Linked DNA regions of Oryzias latipes. The protein of the gene in region 2 interacts with the protein of the main gene of each other region in a pairwise test. Links are inferred from orthologs where the notes say so. Each region holds a gene or a part of one and is shown on either strand. Other genes may lie near its edges. The genes, in order: was, intersectin-2 and sos1.

The links.
Region 1: the proteins of intersectin-2 (region 2) and was interact in a two-hybrid assay, tested with the Homo sapiens proteins (2 studies listed by BioGRID). The link is inferred for Oryzias latipes from reciprocal best matches to the Homo sapiens genes ITSN2 and WAS.
Region 3: the proteins of intersectin-2 (region 2) and sos1 interact in a two-hybrid assay, tested with the Homo sapiens proteins (2 studies listed by BioGRID and IntAct). The link is inferred for Oryzias latipes from reciprocal best matches to the Homo sapiens genes ITSN2 and SOS1.

The regions. Positions count from the first base shown.
Region 1 is NC_019865.2:21,091,002-21,094,752, forward strand, and holds the start of was (wiskott-Aldrich syndrome protein), read left to right. Parts: upstream 1-819; 5' UTR 820-968; coding exon 969-1,070; intron 1,071-1,756; coding exon 1,757-1,897; intron 1,898-2,013; coding exon 2,014-2,100; intron 2,101-2,189; coding exon 2,190-2,286; intron 2,287-2,551; coding exon 2,552-2,581; intron 2,582-2,665; coding exon 2,666-2,701; intron 2,702-2,803; coding exon 2,804-3,002; intron 3,003-3,071; coding exon 3,072-3,250; intron 3,251-3,324; coding exon 3,325-3,751. UniProt on the Homo sapiens protein: Effector protein for Rho-type GTPases that regulates actin filament reorganization via its interaction with the Arp2/3 complex. Important for efficient actin polymerization. Possible regulator of lymphocyte and platelet function.
Region 2 is NC_019882.2:14,797,361-14,801,011, forward strand, and holds part of intersectin-2, read left to right. Parts: intron 1-1,352; coding exon 1,353-1,827; intron 1,828-2,038; coding exon 2,039-2,202; intron 2,203-2,292; coding exon 2,293-2,353; intron 2,354-3,641; coding exon 3,642-3,651.
Region 3 is NC_019859.2:117,537-121,287, forward strand, and holds the start of sos1 (son of sevenless homolog 1), read right to left. Parts: upstream 2,540-3,751; 5' UTR 2,085-2,539; coding exon 1,998-2,084; intron 727-1,997; coding exon 601-726; intron 296-600; coding exon 164-295; intron 1-163. Other genes in the region: tmem178a (transmembrane protein 178A), read right to left, coding at 3,603-3,751.

The DNA.
Region 1 (3,751 bases), on a different chromosome or scaffold from region 2:
TATATGCAACTGCTTTTGCTTCTTGTTAAACAACACAAAACCTGATCCTTTTCCATTTTCCTTTGGTTTGAGAGCTTTATCGGACCTTACTTGATCAGCTTAAAAGCACTTGGGAACAAAATTGATTTTAATCAATCAAAAGAGAAAATATTTATTTAGTATTTTTAATGGGTACTTTATCCGACTGACGTAAAAACCATAATTATCATCGAACTTAAAGTCCCACAGTTGTTGGGGCTTTACTGCCATTTCTTCAAAGTCAACAGTTACTGACCATCATAAACACACATACAGTGAGTTTAAACAGGGATTCTTTTTGTTACTTACAAGCGTCAAGCCAAAAAAAAGGAATTTTGTCACTTTACAAAAATAAAATGTATTTTTTATTAAAATGCTTGACAAAGCCAGTTAAACTCAAGATTGACATAAATCCAGTATTAGACAGATTTTGCAGTCCTGGAAAATGTTGAGGAACTGCCCTTTTTCAATTTTATGTACAATAAAGGAAGTTTTGTTTTGTCCGTCAAATGGTATCTTTTAACTGTTTTATGCAGGATGTGCATTTTTAAATTAATGTGAATGTTGTTATCTGTCAATAAAATAAGTGTCATTTGTACATCTGTGTTTTGTCGCTGGTGTTTTCTCCTTCTGATATTAAATGCACCCAGAATGTGTGTTTGCTTTATTAAATTTGAATATGCACATCAGTGGAAGAGCAACATTTCGCCGCCTCTATGAAAATGGAAGTATAGCACGTTCATTTATGCCCAAGCGAAGAAGAAAAGTGGGGGTTAGAGAAGTGCGGTTGTTCATTTCCTGCTTTGAGCTGCGTTCAAAACAGAGAAGAGAAACTTCCTTGATTGCAAAGTTAACCGAAGAGGCCATTCTCTTAGCGACTGCAGGGCTGCTTTTTTTTAAACAAGATACATGCAGATTTCAGATAAAGTGGATCTTTTTTAAGAGGCATCATGAGCCGTGGATCTAAAAGTAAGACTGAGAGCAACCGAAGCTCTCTGTTGAGCCAACAAGAGAATGAGAAGCTGGAGGAGCTGCTGGGAAGAAGATGTTCAGTAAGTTCTGAAATGACCTAATACACTCTGTCTCATCTGTGAAAATGAGGGGTTAAGGCCTAAGACCTTTTATAGCTGACACTCAAAAAATGTCCATATCACTTCTATCTGCTATTTCAAGGATGATTAAACATCACATCCTAAATTTAAGAGCATAGTTGCAGCTCAGCACTGAGGCTTTTGAGAATACTTTTTTTAATTTTACCTCCACTGATCTTTTCTTTTATTTTAGATAATTCCTCGGAAAAAAAAGTAAACACTAGCAAGAGTACATGTATATTTCTCTAAAATAAAATTCCTTTTTTTGTTTGAATTATATTCTAGCATTGAGTTGTGAAAAAGAGGGTGGCCCTTACAGGAAATGGTAGCTAAAACGATTCTTCCCCTGCCGTCAGAATTAGAAACCATGTTGGGTTGAGTCTCACAGTGTGGAAGATGTTGCTTTGTGTTTGTTAGCTGCAAAAGTAAATATTCTCAATGAAAGCTTAACATTTGAACATGCTCTCAATGTAAAGTGTTTCATCGTTTGCAGTGGAAAATAAAGAATGCCATTGAACCTAACTAACGATGAGGAGGAAGATAATCGTCACGCAACTGGAAATTTACATGAGGACTGCAATGAAATGCTCTTGGGAGTCTTATCGGCTGTGAACAGTTTTTAATCGGTCCCTTATTTGTGTGTTTAGTCCATGGCCACTGCAGTGGCTCAGCTGTTCATGGCTCTCCCTCACAGTCCAACCATGTGGAGTATGCAGCACACCGGGGTGGTTTGCTTTGTCAAAGACAACCCTCAGCGCTCCTACTTCATCCGAATGTTTGACATGAAGGTCAGTCAGAGGCTCACTGTGCTCTGAAGATCCAGTCGTGATAACCAGGTTCCCCTTTTCAAGGCCTGCTGAGCACTAGGGTCACTAACTGACACATCCATCATTTGCTCCCTCAGACAGAGAAAATGGTTTGGGAGCAGGAGCTGTACAACCAAATCATTTACTCCACTCCACGGACGTTTTTTCACACCTTCACTGCAGATGTAAGTGCTCGTTGATCTGCCCTTCTTAAATCATAATCTTCTACCTTGTGGGGTGGTTTAATGCATCGGCTTGTGTAAACTCATTGAAGGATTGTCAAGTGGGGCTGAACTTCTCAGATGAAGGCGAAGCAGAAATTTTCCAAAATGCCGTTGTGGAGAAAATCAGTCAAAGAAACAACCGTCAAGGTCAGCATCTCTTCTGTGGGGATTATCAGATAGAATCATGAACGCGACAAGTTTGTGCCTGATTTGCATTTCCGATGAACTGAACTTCTGTTTTTATCCGGGGCTCAGAGGAAAGTGGCAAATAAAGTAAATGCATGTTTGAATATTTACAAATTCTGTGTTTTTAAGTTATATGGTAAGATTTTTTGTTGTTAAAATACTGAAAGAAACAGTTTGCACTCATTCAAGTGTTTTTGGTGGCCTGAATTTTTTTTCCTGTTGACAGATAAGAAACAGCGCCCCCTACCGACGCCTGGTAAATACACATTTTTTACACTATTTTTGGATAAATTCCTCCTGCATTTCAGAATATCATTTTTTCTCCTCTGTTTTGTTGTAGATCGAGGTTCCTTGCCTCCAGTTCCTCCTGACAAAGGTGTCTTTTTTCAAATTCAATTTCAAATTGTGGTTTCAATATTTTTTTTTCAAATTAAATAAATATATGATAGTGTCTTAATTGGAATTTCTTTCTAAAAAGCAGCAGCTGGTAACCACGGTTCCTTTCACATGGCAACAGTGGACATCCAAAACCCAGACATCCAGTCTTCACGTTATCGCACCATGCCTCCACCCCCTGCTGCTACAGCTGTAGTTATTAATAATAAGAAAAGCAAGAAAAGCAAGAAAAAAGGTCCTAAACTGTCCAAGGCAGACATAGGAGCTCCCAGCGGGTTTACGTAAGAAATGGAGTCTTTAGAGGTACTCATGTGTTGCTGTCTGTTTATTCCTGCTCTCCTCTCTGCCAGGCATGTGTCGCATGTTGGATGGGACCCCAATAACATTGACCCTAATCTGCTGAAGCTGTTCTCCCAGGCGGGCATTAGTGAAGCTGACCTCAAGGACGAGAAGACCTCCCAGCTCATCTATAATGTCATTGAGCAGTCCGGGGGAATTGAAGCTGTCCAACAGGAGGCAAACAGAGCAGGTTGGATGCATATGTTTGATCGTTTGATCATTTTCAGAGCCTCTGCTAAATGCATAACTCACATGTTCTACCAGCTGCTGCACCTCCACCACCTCCACATGGCAGACAGGGAGCCCTGCCTCCTCTGCCCGGCTCTGGGTCTTCCGCTCCAGCCCCTCCGCCCCCTCGAGGTCGCTCCGGCCCTCTACCACCGCTCCCAGGTCAATCCCAGCGGGGGAGCCCGACTCCAAATCCACCTCCACCACGTGGGGGCCTGCCACCTCCGCCTCCATCAAGCCGAGGGGGCCTACCCCCACCCCCTCCGCAGGCTCCACCCTCCTCAAAACAGGGTGCCTCATTCCAAGTGTCCTCCCACATCATGCCACCACCCCCACCACCATCATCATCAAACAAACGCTCCATGGGGGTTCCTCCCCCTGTCCCATCAGCACCCACCAGGGGAGGGGGAGGGGGACCTCCACCACCGCCTCCACCACCCCCACCTCCACCTCCTCAAACCCC
Region 2 (3,651 bases):
GAGTACAACTCACAATTAAAAAGACAATCCCATGCTGTCTTATAGCTACCTATCAGTGAATGAAAGGAACTCAGCAATCATTGGATTAAATCATTGGATTAAAACGCTTTCCGCCTGACTGCTTCCAGTTTTCATAGCATCTCAGGGCACCACAAAGTGGACATTTTTTAATTGGCTCACAATTTAGGGGGAACAGTCCTGCACGTACATGGAAACACAGAAGAGTAGGAAAAGATTGTAAACACACAAGAAAGTTATTCTTCACTTTAACACTGCGCCATAATCAACTCTACAAGCTCATTTACAGTTTGTATACATTTTACAATCTCCGATAAATAACCTGAAAAAAATTGTGTTTTTGGTGTTATGAACATGTTCTGGTTGCATTTTGCTGATGATAGAGGACATATATTAAAGAATTAAGCTTAAAATTCAATATTTCATTGCTGTGAATCATGAGCAGACAAATAAAATGCCATTTGAAAATACACCAGGTCTCCCTACAGTCTCCCTGCTCCGCTCCATTCTGATGCAACCACTTGTAGACAAATGTACGTCTTTGTTTTCTTCATCTGAGCTGGGATCAGGACAAAAATGTACGGCTGGATAGTTCCAATATTGCTCGCCATTTTTGTTGCACCCCTAGTGTTAGGTTGGGGTTGTGAGGGGCTGTAGGCTAGCAGGACAATTTGTGTGGGGCTAGGGTTCCTCCCACCCACAGCTCGGAGATTAATTTCTGATAAACTCCTGCAGCTCTGCAGATACAGCCCTCGAAAATGACCGGGGGGGGGGGGGGGGGGGGGGGGGGGGGTTCTGGCTATAAACAACATAATCATAATTAAAAGACCAATGGGAACGATTTAAAAATAGATCAAAAGATGATTGGAGTGGGTCCATGCAGACAGATGTGACACAGAGTCTGCAGATGTTTTTTCAACAGACTCATGTTAAATGATGCATGTTAAAACCCTTCATAATATAGGAAGCACTTTTATATAAAATGCAGCTTTCTACTAAGTTTAGTGTAAGGAAGAGTTGCAGCCATTGTGGTCACACTGATGTCTGGCACAAATATTACAAACTCTGGACTAGAGACTGCTGCTGGACTACAGTCTGACAACCAAGCGTATTTTGACCTGTTTAGTCTACGAGTTAGTGAAAATCCAGTGAAATTTCTGACGTTTTTTTTAAAAAAAAGTCTTGAACTGATGCAAAATAATAAAATAAGAAAGCTCTGATCTAGGGGTTTTAGATTCAAATTCCTTGTAGATGTTAAAATTTACAAGATATTTGGTAAAAGAAAAAACATCCCGTGAAGTCTTTTAAAGTGTTGTTTTTGTTTTTTTCTACAGACAGAAGAAGCTGGAGCAGGAGAGGAGAGAGCAGGAGCAGAGAGAAAAAGAAAAAAAGGAGAGAGAAGAAGAGGAGGAACGGCAGAGGAGGCTCCTGAAGGAGCAGTGGGCTAGGCAGAGAGAGGAAGAGGAGAGAGAAGCACAAGCTCGCCTCCGGGCTGCCCAGGAGAAAGCACAGGAAGAGGAGCAACAGAGGAGGGAAGAGGAAAGAAGAAGGAGAGAGGAGGAGGAGGAGAGGCAGAAAAGAGAACAGGAAGAGGAAAGGAGGAGAAAGGAGGTGGAGGAGAGGCAGAGAAGGGAAGAGGAGGAGCGGAAGAAGAGAGAAGAGGAAGAAGGGAGGAAACTGAAGGAGTTGGAGGTGATGAAGAAGAAGGAACTGGAAAGAGGAGGACAGCTGACAACATACAAAGCTTTGTATTCATTTGTTGCCCGCAACGCAGATGAGCTTAGTATAGATGCAAACTGCCTCATCCAGGTAAGAAAAAAGCTTCTATAATTTTTAAATATCATTAATAATCTGCAGCTTAATATCAGCGAAAAATATTCTTACATGAAAATATTTCCTTTAATAAACTAACTGGATGACTAATTGCTACCACTTATTTTATGGATGGATTATTGTTTGTTATGCAAAATGTTTTTTCTTCTAATCTCACCTTGTTGCATATTTCTGTCTGTTGTGGCAGGTGAATGAGCTCACTGTGGGCGAGCCTGGCTGGTTGTGTGGGACGTACTGTGGAAAGAGGGGCTGGTTCCCCCAGAGTTACGCAGAGAAATGTCCCACCTTCCTCACCTCCGAAGCTGCTGCTCCTGCTGCTGGAAAGAAATCCTGTCTTCAACCAAACACAAAGTATGAGGCCAAAGTTAAGCAGTTTTGGATATTTTCCTTGAAAGTTGTGTCCAGTGCTGTCTCTTAAAGCTGGTCCCACTTGTATTGCAGAGATCCAGCTGTGGAGAAAGCAGACAATAACACTGCTCTTGTAAATTCAGATCCTTCACAGGTGAGACGATCTTAATATGCCAGATGTAGTTAAAGCATTCCATCTTTCTGTTATCATCTCTTTAATCTTCAGATTTAAGGTAAATGTCATGGAAGAAAGTCTTTTTTCACATTAAACTGCAAGAAACATTCCAGAATACAATGTTCTTTGCTGATATTAATAATTTTTTCTCACAATTTTTTACTCTGATTTTGATTAAATACTCACTCTGATAAAAAATTGTGTTGTTTTTTTTTACATGGGCTTGTGGCATTTTTCTGATGATTGAGAACATATATTAAGAGATGCATTAAGAGATGCATTTCTTTGTTCAAATCGTTGTGAATCAGGAGCAGATGAAAGAATGCTGTTTGTAAAAGATGGTATTTGTGACGTAGAAAATACGCCGAGCGGGACACAAGCTCCTTGCTCTGCGCTCTCAAGAATGGGGAGGGGAAGGGGGGCGGGGTTGCTCTTTGCCAACAGTCCAACCCACAACTCAGGGGTAAATTTCAAATGTACTGATGCTCTGCAGAAACTGTGTCCTAGAAAATTACAGGTGTTTTTTATTTTGGCTACAAAGGCATATTCGTATTCACAACAAAAGACCAGTGGAAAACGCCTTTGAAAATAGATGATTGGACTGGGACTTTAAAGCATCGCTTCAAATACAACACAACCAAGTGGCAGTGAAAGATGTGCATCACAGCAAATCAAAAAGTCAAATGTTTAAAGGTCGTAGAAACTCAAATAGTCCAAATCATTCATACACGTAGCCATGGTTTAAGTGTATTTTCTTTATGCCCTATTAATAAGGGAAAACATCCAGAAGGAGGAAGCAATGTCCAACAGAAAAGACTTGTTTAGACACTTTTAGGTCAGAGAGGACAAAAACAAAACAAACACTAGAGCATCTCAATTTGAATAAAGGAATACTTAAAAGTGCAATTTAAGCCTAACTGTCTTCATATCTGTCCTCTATCATCAGAAAAATTACACAAGAACATGTTAATAACACCAAAAACGCCATTTTAATCATGGTGGCTCATCTTGGCCTTACACTGTAAGTGGGTCTCGATGTGTCAGACCAGCTGCTGGTGCCACAAACGTGCACGCACATCTTTTGCCGCAGCACGCGTATGTATTTTTAGCTTCTCCCTGTTGGGACTCATCCTCTCTCAGCTTCTCTGTGGGTCACACTCTGCCGTTTGCTGAAGTCCACCCGACCGTCGTTTGTGTTAGTGGGTCTGTCCTCAGTCAAATGCTGAGAAAGTTACCTGCTGACTGATGCCTGCGCTTTGCTCTCCAGTGTTCGGTCA
Region 3 (3,751 bases), on a different chromosome or scaffold from region 2:
GATCTTTTCAGTGCTCCAAACCGCGGCCCGCTTCCCCAAACTTTCTACTCTGTGGAAGCCAACAGCAAAGCTTCTTCCTGAAGACGATTCTGTCTGAGAGTCAGAGTTACTGATAAACATGGACAAGAGCGGAGGATGGAGAAAACACTGACAGGACGGTTACCTTCAGCAGGGGATGGATCTTATCAACCGGCAGAGACAGAGGGTTCCTTCTCTTCCTTTTCTCGATGGCCGCCTGAGCATCTGCAATCGCCCACTTGTCGATAGGATAAGGAAAACTCTTCTGGACCCTCTCCTAAGACAACCGACAGAAGGTGTGAGGACCAAGTGACCTGACCTGCAGGCTTGACCTCACTTAGGTGACTAAAGGTAAGAGGGTTTGTTTCCAGGTTTCAGCATCCCTAAGCCTGTAGGTCTGAATCATTGGTGGAGATTTCAAGGGCTTGTTGGTGGAACATGCATGTGGCCACGGCAAACGTGTGCACGTGTGGATGGGTGCAGGTGTGCACGTGTGTTTGTGTGCACATGTATTTCTGTGCATGTGTGTATCTGTGTATGTGTGCATGCGTGTATCTGTGCATGTGTGCACGTGTGCGTCACCTCCACGTCCTGCACTGTGCGAGGCTGGGCCTGACACAACATGCTGAGCAGCAGCAGGATCAGCTCTTCGATGTACTGCAGCGCCTCCTGCTGGGACTTCAGGTTGGGGTGTACCTGGTTCAGTACCTGCAGCGTGCAGCCACACACACAACGTTTGATCAATAATTAAACAAAACGAAATGACAGAGCAGGTTTGATCAGAACAAGCAGAAACACAGGCCTCATGGATATGTGCTGCCCCCCAGTGGAGGAGGACAGAAAGACACCTTTCTCTCTGAGTTTCTGTTGGTTTTAGCTTCTTCTGTGTTTCTTTTTTTTAATTTATGTTCACCAACAGGCCGAAACCCACTTATGGGCGACGGTCAGACTCTACACCGGGTTCAGGTCTGCATGCTGGTCCCACAGGAACCAGGTAAAGACCAGACCTGCTGCTCCTTTCATGCAGCTAAGAAGACCTTCTCTGGAAATGTTCCCGTCCAGAACCACAGCTGATGATCACAAACAGTTATTTTAGTCCAGTTTTAAAGTCGTTTAATCATAATTTAACCTTTTGGGTTTTAAATCCCATTAAATTAATACATGCAGGAGTCCAAACATCTGTCCTGACCCAATAGAACATCATCTGAACCCAGGAGACCTCAGTCCATCCAACCTCCCACATTTCCACCTGATGCACCGCTGGCAGTAGAACCAGAACCAACACAGAAACCATGAGCGTTACAAACCAGGTCCACATGGTGGTAGACCGTGTTGTGGGTCAGAAACCTGTCATCATTCTTTGAGTTCCTGTTGTAGTTTCTGCCTACCAGCTGGACTCTGCCATCATTAAATGGATCTCTCAGGACGCGGGCCTGATGACAGCGGTCAGAGGTTCTGATGGTGAGCAGAACTTATGAAACATGGATCCAGAGGGTCAGAGGTCAGCCACCTGGAGCGCTTCTACCCGGTCCAACCCACAACTTTGGAGGTCCAACAAAGAACTCTGGGACAGTGAGGAACAGATTTGCAGAGTGTTGATCTTCTAAATCACAAGAGAACCACATCAGTCCAGGTCGGATCGGGACTGAAGTGGTCCAGGTCGGATCGGGACTGAAGTGGTCCAGGTCGGATCGGGACTGAAGTGGTCCAGGTCGGATCGGGACTGAAGTGGTCCAGGTCGGATCGGGACTGAAGTGGTCCAGGTCCGATCGGGACTGAAGTGGTTCAGGTCGGATCGGGACTGAAGTGGTCCAGGTGAGCTGGAAGAGTCCAGAACCTGTAGCCTCCGGGGAGCAGGCAGACCCCGCTGCCCCCATCTGACGTCAGCCGTCCTGTCACGGAACGGCCCGGCTTACCTGCAGGGCCACACCTGGCTGCAGCAGCCGCCTACGTGCGTGCGTGCGTGCGTGCGCACCTACCTTCTCCAGGGAGGGCACCAGCAGGCCTCTCCACCGCGGAGCGTTGTCCTCGCTGCAGAAATCGAACTGCAGCTGGCCCGTCTGCATGCTCACACGCACGCGGCTCCGTTTGGCGTGAATTCTGTGCGCGGCTTTGCGGGTCCAGCTGCGCGGCTGAAGCCGGGGGCCTCACGACGTCCGGGATCCGCCGGGACCGCCGCCACCATCCTCGGCTAACCGTTAGCTCCGCGGCTAGGAGCTAGCTGGACCGGGCGGAGGGCATGGCTTGCTGCGCGCTCCCGGGCTGCGCGCTCCCAGCACAGGCTCGCCGGCGGCGGGAGGGAGGGGGTCTCTGCGTCGGTTACTGGGCGCGGAGGGGGGGGTCAGCGGAGCAAACGGCGCGCCGCGGCTGTCATGTCACCGTTGCGGCTGGGGGGGGGGGCTCCAGTGCGGCGCCTGCGGGTGGGGGCCGCGTGACACCCGGTCTGTCTCAACCAGGATCCGAACCGGAAGGTCGGACGGTCACCTGCTGACGGCTGCAGCGCTCCGGAGGACCGAACCGAACATGGCGAGATAGTGAGCATGCGCAGTGGGTAGTTGCTGACGTTCAGGGGCGGGGCTGCTGTAGAGCGGAGAATCAAACTGATCTGATGGGAATCGGACCACCGGAACATAGGAGCACGTGCAGGTCAGAACTCAAATAATAAACTCTGTCCTGATGTACGTTTTTGAAGGTTAGAAACAGAACCGGAACCAGGACTGACCTTGATCTGGGTCGGGGGGGTCGTAACAACCCCCCTCCGCCCCCATTAGCTTCAAAGTTCCAGAGTGGAGTCTGATTTGAAGATTCAACACTCAGAACCAGAACCAACTGAGGGACTCCGTACCAATGAGAAGAAACCACTCTGAGATCAGGTGGGCTTCAAGTATTTTATTTACAAATGGGGGGGGGTCAAGTGGTGTGTGGGTGGGGGTCAGGTTAAGTGGTATGGGGGGCCCTGTTCGGACCTTCTTACCTGCACTAAGGAGGTGTCTTGATCACCTTTACAAAAATCTGGTGCTGTTGAGTGAAAAAGGTTTGGACACATCTAAGTTCTGCTGACTTTTCAATGGACCGGACATGGGGATCACGACCCCCCCCCCCCCCCCATGTGTCTCCCACCTGTCTGTGGCCTGATGGGGGGGCTGAAATGGATCTGGGCTCATCTGGAGCCAAAAACTGCGCCTCCATGCAGTCAGAGAGGAGGCTCCATCATCGGACCTGAACCCGCCCCTCAAGATTCAAACTCACCAGATCTTCACCTGTGATCACACCTGTGTAAAAACCGCAGGGGGGGGGGGTCAGCCAAAATACATAATTTCACAATGAGAAACGGTCACTGGCTAACAGACACTGTAAGACCCGTCCAAGCCGGGTCGGACGGCGGTTCCTCTGACACTACAAACACTGTTCCTATCGAAGACACCCAGAAGGGGGCGCCATGCTCCACAGAAGCTTTGCAGCAGAGGTATGAGTCCTCTTGAGGTTCTCCCTCAGCAAGAGTCCAGAAGCCAGTGTAAATAAAACCTCTGCAGCCCAGTCTGGACCACGTCTCGGAGTCCGGTGTCCTGCTGATCACCAACAGCTCACACAGAAGATTCCCGTGCAGTTTTGGACCTCAGAGCTCGGGCCCGGTTCAGGAAGGGGAAGGTGGTAGCAAGGCAGCCGGCAGCCACGGTCAGACCCAGACTTGTCCAGGCGAAGTAGATGGACCAACCGTACCCATGATCCACAT